Linked DNA regions of Neodiprion lecontei. The protein of the gene in region 2 interacts with the protein of the main gene of each other region in a pairwise test. Links are inferred from orthologs where the notes say so. Each region holds a gene or a part of one and is shown on either strand. Other genes may lie near its edges.

Region 1 (4,882 bases), on a different chromosome or scaffold from region 2:
ACAGAAAAACATAGGTAAATGTTTACAAACCTGGAGGGCGATATATTTGAATCGATGGTTTCGTCTTCGGGGTGGCTATGCTACTGTTCCGTTTTTGCAGAACGGCATCCCTCATCTGAAAAGATGTTGAAGTTTTATATCGAGAAGGAGGAGGTGGTAGGTAAATTATACTGATTTTATAACGGAGTTGGAAAAAAATGTTAGGATTATATTAAAGTCTCAAACACTCAAACTATAAAAACTTTGATCGTACCTACGTTTACTTCACGTTCTTCAAAGATTAGGTGATTCAGATTGAATTAGTACAATGCCTCAAATATACGTGTATAATATTTATTATCAGCGGCAAAATGATTACAGCACTAAAGAGGCGTGCTTCTTACATCCTTCACACGTATACATTTTCACGGATCATACAATTAGTAATAATTCAACACATCTAAGAGCTTGGTGATTTGTTATTGCAATGGATCCGGCACCCTGGAGCTGAGCAGCAGTCGCTAATGAAGCAGCAAATGAAAAAAAGGAAACACCTATTATATTTTATCAGACTGCAATAATTATTCGGCAAATCGAGAATAATGACAATAGGTGCAGGTAAAGGTGTCGTTAAACATGAGGATGAAGTTAGTAACTTTACTGTAACGAGGAATGTTTATCAAAAATCGCCAATTCGCACCTTTGTAAATTTCCGAAATTTAGTCAATTATTACAAGCAAAATATTATACACTCATTCTGAAAAGCCAACTATCTTAAAGTCAATCTAAAATTGTTCAACAATGATTACTTTTTTTTCATTTCTTATGTATCGTTACGTTAACATTACTAACTTCAGCCTCGTCACTAAACGAAAATTAAATCTTCGATTATCTGTAATTCAAATACAGTACAGTACGAGACCGGTTCGCCTCCAATAACTCCGAAACGCCATTAGCCGTTAGTCACTAACGCATGCATGCACAAGTATAAAGGCGTCAACTTATACAGCCTCAGATTTAGCATTGCTCATATTTTTCGAACAGTTCAAATACCGCGGCGCGCATTGTCTCTTGAACAATTTTACAGCGACGTCTAATCCTTCCGCACACGTATTATCATATTCAAATTATTCTCTCAGATCCCGAACCGCGTGGTCACACGCACCGATATATTTCCTTGGTAACAGTTCCAACGCTTTTTCTGTTCCAATTCCTTTTTTCAAATTCGAAAAATTCCGTTCGATCATAACCCCGCGTTTACACAGACATATGTTTAAACTCACGGTGATAACTGGTGAACAATCATTGTTAAGAAAAAAAAAAAAAAAAGTGAACGATGGTCGCTGGTACACGTCTGACAGTTGAAATAAGCAGGGTCTAAAAGTGCAGAGAGCAGTTTATCCGTAGGAGAAGTTAACGCTCGGAAACTCAGCGGTGAAATGACGATAGTTTGAAATTTAAAATTTCGTCGAGGCAGGCGTGTGTCAGACACCAAAGAAGTTTTTCAACCTTTTTCAACGTAATTGCAGCTTATCGATGATTATTTAATTTACTTATATTATGCAAGAAGCGTACCACTTTCGAAGCGTGTTATTTCACCGTATAATACACAGAAGCTTATACTCTACTCTGGTGACTAGGAACTAATAATAGCAAGCGCAACCGTGAGTAAGAATATACATGTATATATCCACCATTTAAACGAAGACTGAAATACCCAGCGCGCTGCCTCCATACGAGAGATTCTTTTTAAACCACGGCGACAGCAGCAGCAGCATCAGCGCAGCGCATTTGCGCCGCGAATTTCATTGTACACGGCGATATACGTATATAAAGAATATGATAATATCGTTATCGAATCGATATTGTGACACGCGCGTTCGGCGGTAACATTAATAACAACAACAACAATAACAATAAAAATAAATATATTGACTACATTTAATTTCATCATATTTTTCATCATTATTATTGTTGTCATTTATTTACCAGTATGTTACTTGAGGTACCATTGTTTTGCGATACAACAATCGCTTGTCAAATATTTTATCTACTTACGTAACACAACCCGGTGATCTTACCGATATAATTATACTTGTACGATACATATTTGTAGTTATATGCACGTATGTATGTACAAACGAAAGGTGTGCCGATATGGTTTTAACAAATGCGATTAAAATATTTAACCCCGTTTGCACAAGTGCGGAGCAACGTATTAATTATTAATGATCGGTATAAGTTTTTAGTTTTTTCCATCGGCATCGGTAAAACGAATTCGTGTATACATAATTTATACTTGCAGGCTTTTTCGGATGACGATGATCGTGATATTGTTCCTGTTTGTTCAATCGGCGCGACTCGCGATCCGCCGGCGCGCTTACAATATCGCTAATAATAGATACGCGTGCAGACGTAATTTATAAATCTGAAAAATCTTCAACCCAGCAGCGACACTATCTACTTCCGGTTCGTCACTTCCGATTCCCGATACTCTGTTTATACACAGCGATGACGCAAACGATATTAATTCATAATAAGACTAAACATTTAATATATTATAACAGAAAAAATCGTGCAGCGTTAGATTCATTCTATTAATTATACCTACGCTAATTTGTAGGGTAATACAATATTAGCGACACATTTTACCGTATAAAGTGTGATATTTCTCAATGTACCACAAAACGAGTCAGATTATTGTATACGAGAAAAATCGAAACTACCACCCACCTTGATCATCTGCAGGTATAATCAACGTGCGTCGCTCCGTCTACGACTCCATAAATCCCTCCGTTTTAGGTATTTAACAATACAACGTTAAAATGCAGTGTACAAAAACTCCGTACTCTACGCGCGTGACGAGGAGTCCTAGATATCCAACAAAGCTAAACTAATCGCGGTATGGCTCCCGGAATTATTCGAAGGTGTGTATATAATATGATCATGCGAGCTTTGTAGGTACGCGCGAAACTCGCGAGGGACAGACGTACTTCCTAATAAGAATATAATTATACAACGGCATAAATATAATAAGGTACATGAAAAATTGTAATCCGTACGACACGATATTCTTCTTTATACATGTATATTATTATTATTATTTACACAAGGTGATTATCAATCGGGTACGTATGAGAGAGTCGGAGGATGTGTTTCCTTTGATCGAAATATCTATTAACTGAAATATCTAAACAAAGTACAATATACTTATCCCCCCCCCCCCTACCTATTTCAGATCCAATGATTGGTTATGGAGAAGAGGCGCGGGCGGCATTTCGCTCGTGCCATATAAACGTTGCACACAAGCCATGCCATTATATCAAGCTCTGTAGTCATGTCGCCGATCCTTCGCTCCATGTAAGCGATAGTACGTTTCAAGGTTCGACAGCTCGTTTCACAGCCAGGTATACGCCTGTACAAGACTGTCATAATCCGATCACAGCTGTTGCGAGGCAGGCGAGACGTGCGGATCAGACGGCTCAGCTCTGACTCCCACGCATCTTTTTGATACGTTAATGCACGTTTTAGCGCAATGTAGAATGTTGCGATCACCTAAATCGGGACGGCAGTTCGAGACTTGAAATTGCGTCTTATCGCTCCGCAGAAAACCGTTGAGGTGGTTGTATTTTTTCATTGGCAGTGTTTTTTTTTTTTTTTTTTTTTTTTTTTTATCCAAAGTAGCACAACGAAACAAAGCGAGACGATGACAGCTTGACGAGAGCTGTTCGACGTGATTTGCGACGGTTATTTGAAACCGTCGGCAAATTATTCGCTTCGTACTTATTTTGAATCGAGGTATATCGCAGGCTTAGCGCGCCACGCACGTTGGACAACGCATACTCGGAGGAGTCATGAACGCATACGTTTTTAAGATTCTCCATCTACCACGTATCTATGTAACTTGCTACTTTGTCAGTTTGTTGTGCTGCAGTAGGCAGACAGGCCTGTTATATGAGAGCGCTGCAATATACCTACGTTATGATGCAGCTTGGACTAAAGTTGATTTGCGCAATCCTGTCGTACACCTGTGTAATGTAAGTGAGTTTTTCCTAGTGAAACCGTGTGCGTATTTTACAGCGAATTTAATACACGTATATACCTATGAATATCTCATAATCTTACGCTGCACGCACGTCGTGTGAAGAACCTGTTTTTTTTTTTTTTTGTTTTAAAGAATCTGATGAAATATCATCACGCGAGCCGTCGCATGGATTATAATGCGCTTCGATTGTAATTGCCCGATTGTCAATTTGCATGGCTCCGCGTTGTACAATCACTTGTTTCTTTCTCTATTTATCAGATCATTAATTCGGGATTCGGGTTACTGCATCATTTCGTAATACTTATAATTACGATATTTTACGATCTAACTCCGCAATAATTGAACCCAAACCAATTCCTTATTCAAATAGTCGAACGCTTCGAGAAATCTCGATAGTATCGACTTACGCTATCGACCCTTGTCAAATGCACAATGTAAAATGCGCCATCTTACGAATTACGTCATAACTAAAAATTGATCTATCAAGTGAGTATCGCGATCTTGCAACAGGCAGCGTGTAACCTAAAAATTCATGGCGGCAGCGGAGATTCTTGATGAAAGAAATATTCAAGGTAATATGAAGGTGTAAATGAAACCCAATTTGAAAAATAAACTTTTTGGGTTTGTATAGACTTGCATTATTGCTTTTTCACGCTATTCGCCGACGCAGGCAATCACAAACGTTCGATGAAGTTCGATCAGTTTGAAAATTGGCGCGCTAACTGGTTCCGAGATGGGAAAATGGCTGACAGGTGTAAAAATCGCGCGCGTCGGCATCCGGGGTACCGAACCGTGCGCGAACACGAAGCACGACACGACTTCAGGGATACCTAGTAACTGGTTAACACGCAGCAACGG
Region 2 (5,240 bases):
CCATCTGTATTGCCAAAAAAAAATCTTATAAACATGCTTTTTTTTCACCGAATTAACCTTACCCCCCCCTTAAAATATGCACGATACTGAAAAAAAGCGGACAAGAGCGAATACAGCTTGCACCCTGAGGGTTCCATACGAAATTAATTATTTTTTTTTTTTGTATGATATAAGTGCAAATTAACTATTTTCCTACTTATTCCTTTACTTGTGTTGTGAGACCTTACTTCCCTCCAAATTTCATGATTCTGGGTCAACCGGAAGGACCCTATAGGTTTTTATTTATGAGTTGCGAGCAGTAAAATATATGACATAAATGGCCGTATCTTTTGAGCGGGTAAATTTAGAAGCTTGAATTTTTTACACCTCCAAGGGACCGTAGACCTTGGTATTTGAGATTAATTGCAACTTGATACCTTTACCTGGTCCTGAGAAAAAAGGTCTTGACAGACGAACAGACAGACGAATAGACAGACAGACAGATATACGGACAATGAAATGATCCTATAAGGGTTCCGTTTTTTTCCTTTTGAGGCAGGGAACCCTAAAAATGAAATAAATCTCATCATAAAAACACGTGATTTTTGCGTTTCAATTTTACATGAATGAGACAAACTCGTAAAATCGTTAAGGAAGTACCCTGGTCGATTTCGATGTGACGTATATATCTCGAAATATCTAATTCCACGTATCTCAAGAGCGACAAACGGCTTAACAACCGTATTCTATATACAAATCTGAACAAAAACACTCTAACCCATTTTCCATAGACACAGAAATAAAGAAATGGGTTGGATTCTACGAAATCGTAATATAAAATTCGTAGAATTCATGCCATTTCTTTGTTTCTGCGTCAAAAGAAAATAGATTTCAGTGTTTTTGTTCAAAATTATGTATAGAATAGAGGTGTTAAGCCCTTTCTCCGTGAAGTAAAGAATTAAGTCCCTTGTTCCCGTAAGCCCCTTAAATGAATTTAAAAAACGAAATAAATAAGCATTAAATAATAAAAATATTATGAATAAAAATTGTGGCGGCGAGGGGGGTCGGGGGGGGGGCTGCATACGGCCGCCGCTGAGACGCTTGGAATTTTACTTCGTCAGTATTATCATTTCCAGCATTCCAAAGTTGTCAAACGCTATTTCACGCCCAATAAAACTACGGTAAGAATAGCTAAAATGTGATTTCACTATCGTCGAGTTCCAAGACTCGAGAATTTAGTCCGTAAAACTCCATCGTATGGCTGAAGAGTGAAGTTTGCTACTTGCACATTCTATTTCCTCTTATAGGTTTGAAAGCGGCTAACTTCACCCTCCAATAAGACCATAAAATACATCGGGCGAACCGTTGAAATGTAAGAAAAATTTATAATAAATATATTCGCATCGAAATTATTCCCATTAAACGAGTTGATGAACGGGAAATTAGGATTATTCCGAAAATTTCCAGACAGATGTCTGTGACCTGGAAATATTCTGCATCAACGATTTTGTACGCACACGTACGCGGATACGCGTCTATGTGTTTGATGTAAAACAGACGTAAGTCAAACTGTACATGCACACTCGGCTCGGCCTTCAGTTCAGCAGCCAATGCTCAGCGCTCAAGCAAAAACTGTGTTATGTATTTGATTCTATCCACATAAGTATGCGTATGATAATTTATGCACGTAACACATCCCAGGTAAGTGTAATTGACGTTGTGTTATGTTATGACAAAGTTTTTTTTTTGTCGCAGTTAAAGTTGGGATCACAAAAAGGATTAGAAAGCTACAGAATCAGTTATACCTAGAAGTTTGCTTCAATAAGATTGTCGGTAGAGTACATAAATAATATGGATTTAGCGTAGATAAGATGCAGGTATGTTACATTACATACGTAGAATACATGGTTATGTTGTGGTATCGTATGGCGAACGTTAAATTAGGTTAGGTTAGTGCGAATGTTATCTAATCAGGGTCGTTGGCGCGCGTGGAGGAGTAACAAATTGCGCGCCAAACAGGGAATAGAGGAAAATTAAAGGCACAACTCAGTACTGACAGTACCTTCGATAATGACGCGAGGGATGCTGAACGGCAGTGGAGTCCGTTAATTTGGCAAGTGCTCTACAGACCTCAAGACGCAGGGACCGTCAAGTAATCGAAAACGGCGAATATGCGAGAGATTATCGCCTGGCGGCATCGCGTAAGGATTACAACGCAACGTCTTTAAAAGTCACCACCGGCGGATTTCTTGAATTATGGGACAAGGAAAAACGGATCTCACGACGTCGAGTAAATTTCGTAAAAGCACGAGAAAACAGAGGAAGGTCTAATGATGAATATGCGAGAATAAACGCACATCGTCGCTTTCGGCTACCAAAGGTTTATAGTAAAAATGAATGATATGGAGAACGAAAATAACCTCACGTGTCATACCAGCGATATGTATTGTATATACCGCAATGTATACTTGAACATGTGCCTATAAAGTCGCCTAGCTGTATCTACCATACACTAGAGTAGAAAATAAAGAAATTAGTCTTATTACTACTTGCAATTATTTATTAATAAACATTTTTCGTGCCCGATACGTGACCGTTTTTAGCATTTTTAATTGCATTCTATCAATGCGGTTGATCAATCATTGTATATTCAAATGGCGACGATTTTTGATCGCACAGCTTTCGATATCCGATCCTAACGCTGATTCCGATCTAGCTCAAGCGAGCAGGCGAGTCAGCAGGCGATCACTGTATAAAAACCGTAAAAAATGACATATGTAAACGCTTACAGCATAAAGATCACCGCTATTATGGATGTAGACGAACGTGTGTGACAATTTTCAAAAATACACGCACGCACGCGCGTTTGATCATTAACACATACATGCAGGCATACTTATTACTTACTTCAGGTAGATAGGGATGTTGCTGATTTGCGGTGCGCACTGTCCTCTTCTTTTCCACCCAGAATGACAATGAACAGTTGCTTAATTTTATGTGGCCACACGGCGATCGAAAAACGTGCGCGCACGGATCTGACGCGAATTCTAGTATGTTGATTTTTATTTTTTCGATTTTTATTTAGGGATCAAACCAAAGAGGACGACCAACGATTCGTCATGGTATTTTCTCTCTACCCTGTCCTCTGCCTCGCCGCACCTCGCTTAGCCGGACTTCTCACCCGGGCTCTCACGACACGATCTCCCAGCCTAGAGCAGAGAACGGGCAGAGAGTCAACTAACCTACTAGTCGACTAAGCGCCGACTTTCGTTCCGCCTTCGTCTCCCGACAGAAATTCAGGGGCCAATCAGAATTCGAGTCTGACGAGAAATACCCTAAATTCTTGTATATTTCTTTTCTGATTGGTTCACTTAGCCTTAAATCAGCTGCCTTCGGTGAATTCTCGTTACTTTTTTACCAGATACCTGATGCGGGAAATTTGAATTTCCGCTCAAGTTGTAAATACATATTCAAGGGTCACAAGTCGATGTAAAATTTCAAAAGTGAAGTACAATGCAGTTTTAAATACATGATATTTGAAGAATATTATATAATTATGAAATATTCATATTCTCGAACATCTCAAAGTAAAGAAAAAGTAAGATTCTCTGACTTTAGAGACGGTAAATGGATGTTATAAGGAGGCAAAAAGAATTCAGACATTGAAAACATTTTATTCAGTCAGTAAGAAGCCTTCTACATAATAATTCATTTTCATATGTAAATCACACCTCGTGGTGTAATTTACACAACAATATACATCATTTTTCCACGTACCGCTTAGTTTTTTTTTCTGTTTTCATTTTTGTATTTGTTCGGATTAGTTAGTTTACGTTTATGTTATGCCGAAAATAAAATTATCCTAAAAAACATAATCAATAATAGTACTCATAATATTATTTATCCATTATCATCGTCGTCCTCGTGTATATTTTATACTATTATTATTGTTGTTACTGTTATTATTACTAATTGTAGTCAATAAATGATTCCTATTTTGTTTCAACTTAGTTTTCACTGCAACAATGTTAAAATTTGTTACTTTTTTTTTTTGTATCGGTTTCTCCCGCTTTTCGTCAGAATTCGAAATAGAATCCATTCAGATCTCACATTGAGTATTTGACGTTACGATTGAAGAATTAGCAAAGCTGACACCGGATAAAATATTCTCTACCTCAACATAATTGTTTGTTTGTTTCAGTTTTTTCTACAATCGTTTTTTTCAAAGTTCAACTGCAATGTTCATGAAATCTCAAAAAGAATCTTTCGAATTCGCAGAGGTTTCAGTCTCAGGGCGCAAACGAGGTGCTAAAGTACAACATTGTATATCATATATCGTGATCTATAAGTAAAAATTTGCCAACTGTTCGCAGAGAGATCGTAATTTAATAATACCTTCAATAATTATTAATATGTATGTTATGTATGTATATGTTATAATGTATGTATAATATTATCAACTATAATTATAAGTTAGATAATGCGAGATAGAATATAGATGAAAAAGGCACTCGTTTTGTGTAGTAGAAACATAATCCAGGAACCAATATAACGTTGTGTTAACACAACGCTCCAAAACACAATCTCCCTACATTTTGCAACAGCTTTCCTCCGTCTTTTCATTCTTCCTCTCTCTTCCCTGTACTAAAGGTACTCGATTGATTACGTAAATGAATAAATTATTATCATTATCATCGTATAACCATCATCATCATCATCATCATCATTATTTATCATTATTAGTATTTTTTATATCAGTCTAAAAAATTATTACTATCATCTCCCTTTCATTATTCTTGTTCTTCTTCTTCTCAGAAGGACTGTATAGTGTATTTATCGATAAAATTAATACAATGTATACGCTGTATTCATTAATTCTCTCTGTTCTCATCTTCGTCGTCAGTATTGTGACATATTTTATTATAAAAGATCTCGCTTTCTGCAACAGAAGGTAATTTCAACTTTCTTTCAATGTTTTTGTTTTTCACACATGTATAATCGAAAAATTTGTACGTTAGCACAATGTTTGCATCAAGATCGGGAGCGATTGATACGTAACTTAAACAGGCTTCAGAGAAGAAAGAAAACAATATTTGTTATTTCCTTCTGTTTTGCACATTAGTATAATATATACTTACATTGATTATGTTTACATCAGAAATAATATTATTTCATGCTAAAATTGACTCAATTGCTTCGACAGCGTTTATGGATTTATAGTAGGTGCAAGTTTAGTGAAGGGGAAATAAAATCTTTGTAAA

The links.
Region 1: the proteins of eukaryotic translation initiation factor 4E-binding protein Mextli (region 2) and uncharacterized protein LOC107224571 interact in a two-hybrid assay, tested with the Drosophila melanogaster proteins (2 studies listed by BioGRID). The link is inferred for Neodiprion lecontei from reciprocal best matches to the Drosophila melanogaster genes mxt and CG13124.

The regions. Positions count from the first base shown.
Region 1 is NC_060261.1:3,497,657-3,502,538, reverse strand, and holds the start of uncharacterized protein LOC107224571, read right to left. Parts: upstream 3,059-4,882; 5' UTR 2,722-3,058; coding exon 2,713-2,721; intron 1,825-2,712; exon of another isoform or gene 1,677-1,824; coding exon of another isoform or gene 1,674-1,676; intron 1,664-1,673; exon of another isoform or gene 1,555-1,663; intron 1,420-1,554; exon of another isoform or gene 1,263-1,419; intron 501-1,262; exon of another isoform or gene 254-500; intron 116-253; coding exon 31-115; intron 1-30.
Region 2 is NC_060264.1:21,030,116-21,035,355, forward strand, and holds the start of eukaryotic translation initiation factor 4E-binding protein Mextli, read right to left. Parts: upstream 3,223-5,240; 5' UTR 2,887-3,222; intron 2,526-2,886; exon of another isoform or gene 1,447-2,525; intron 1,352-1,446; exon of another isoform or gene 1,287-1,351; intron 1,161-1,286; exon of another isoform or gene 1,125-1,160; intron 1-1,124. UniProt on the Drosophila melanogaster protein: Plays a role in promoting translation.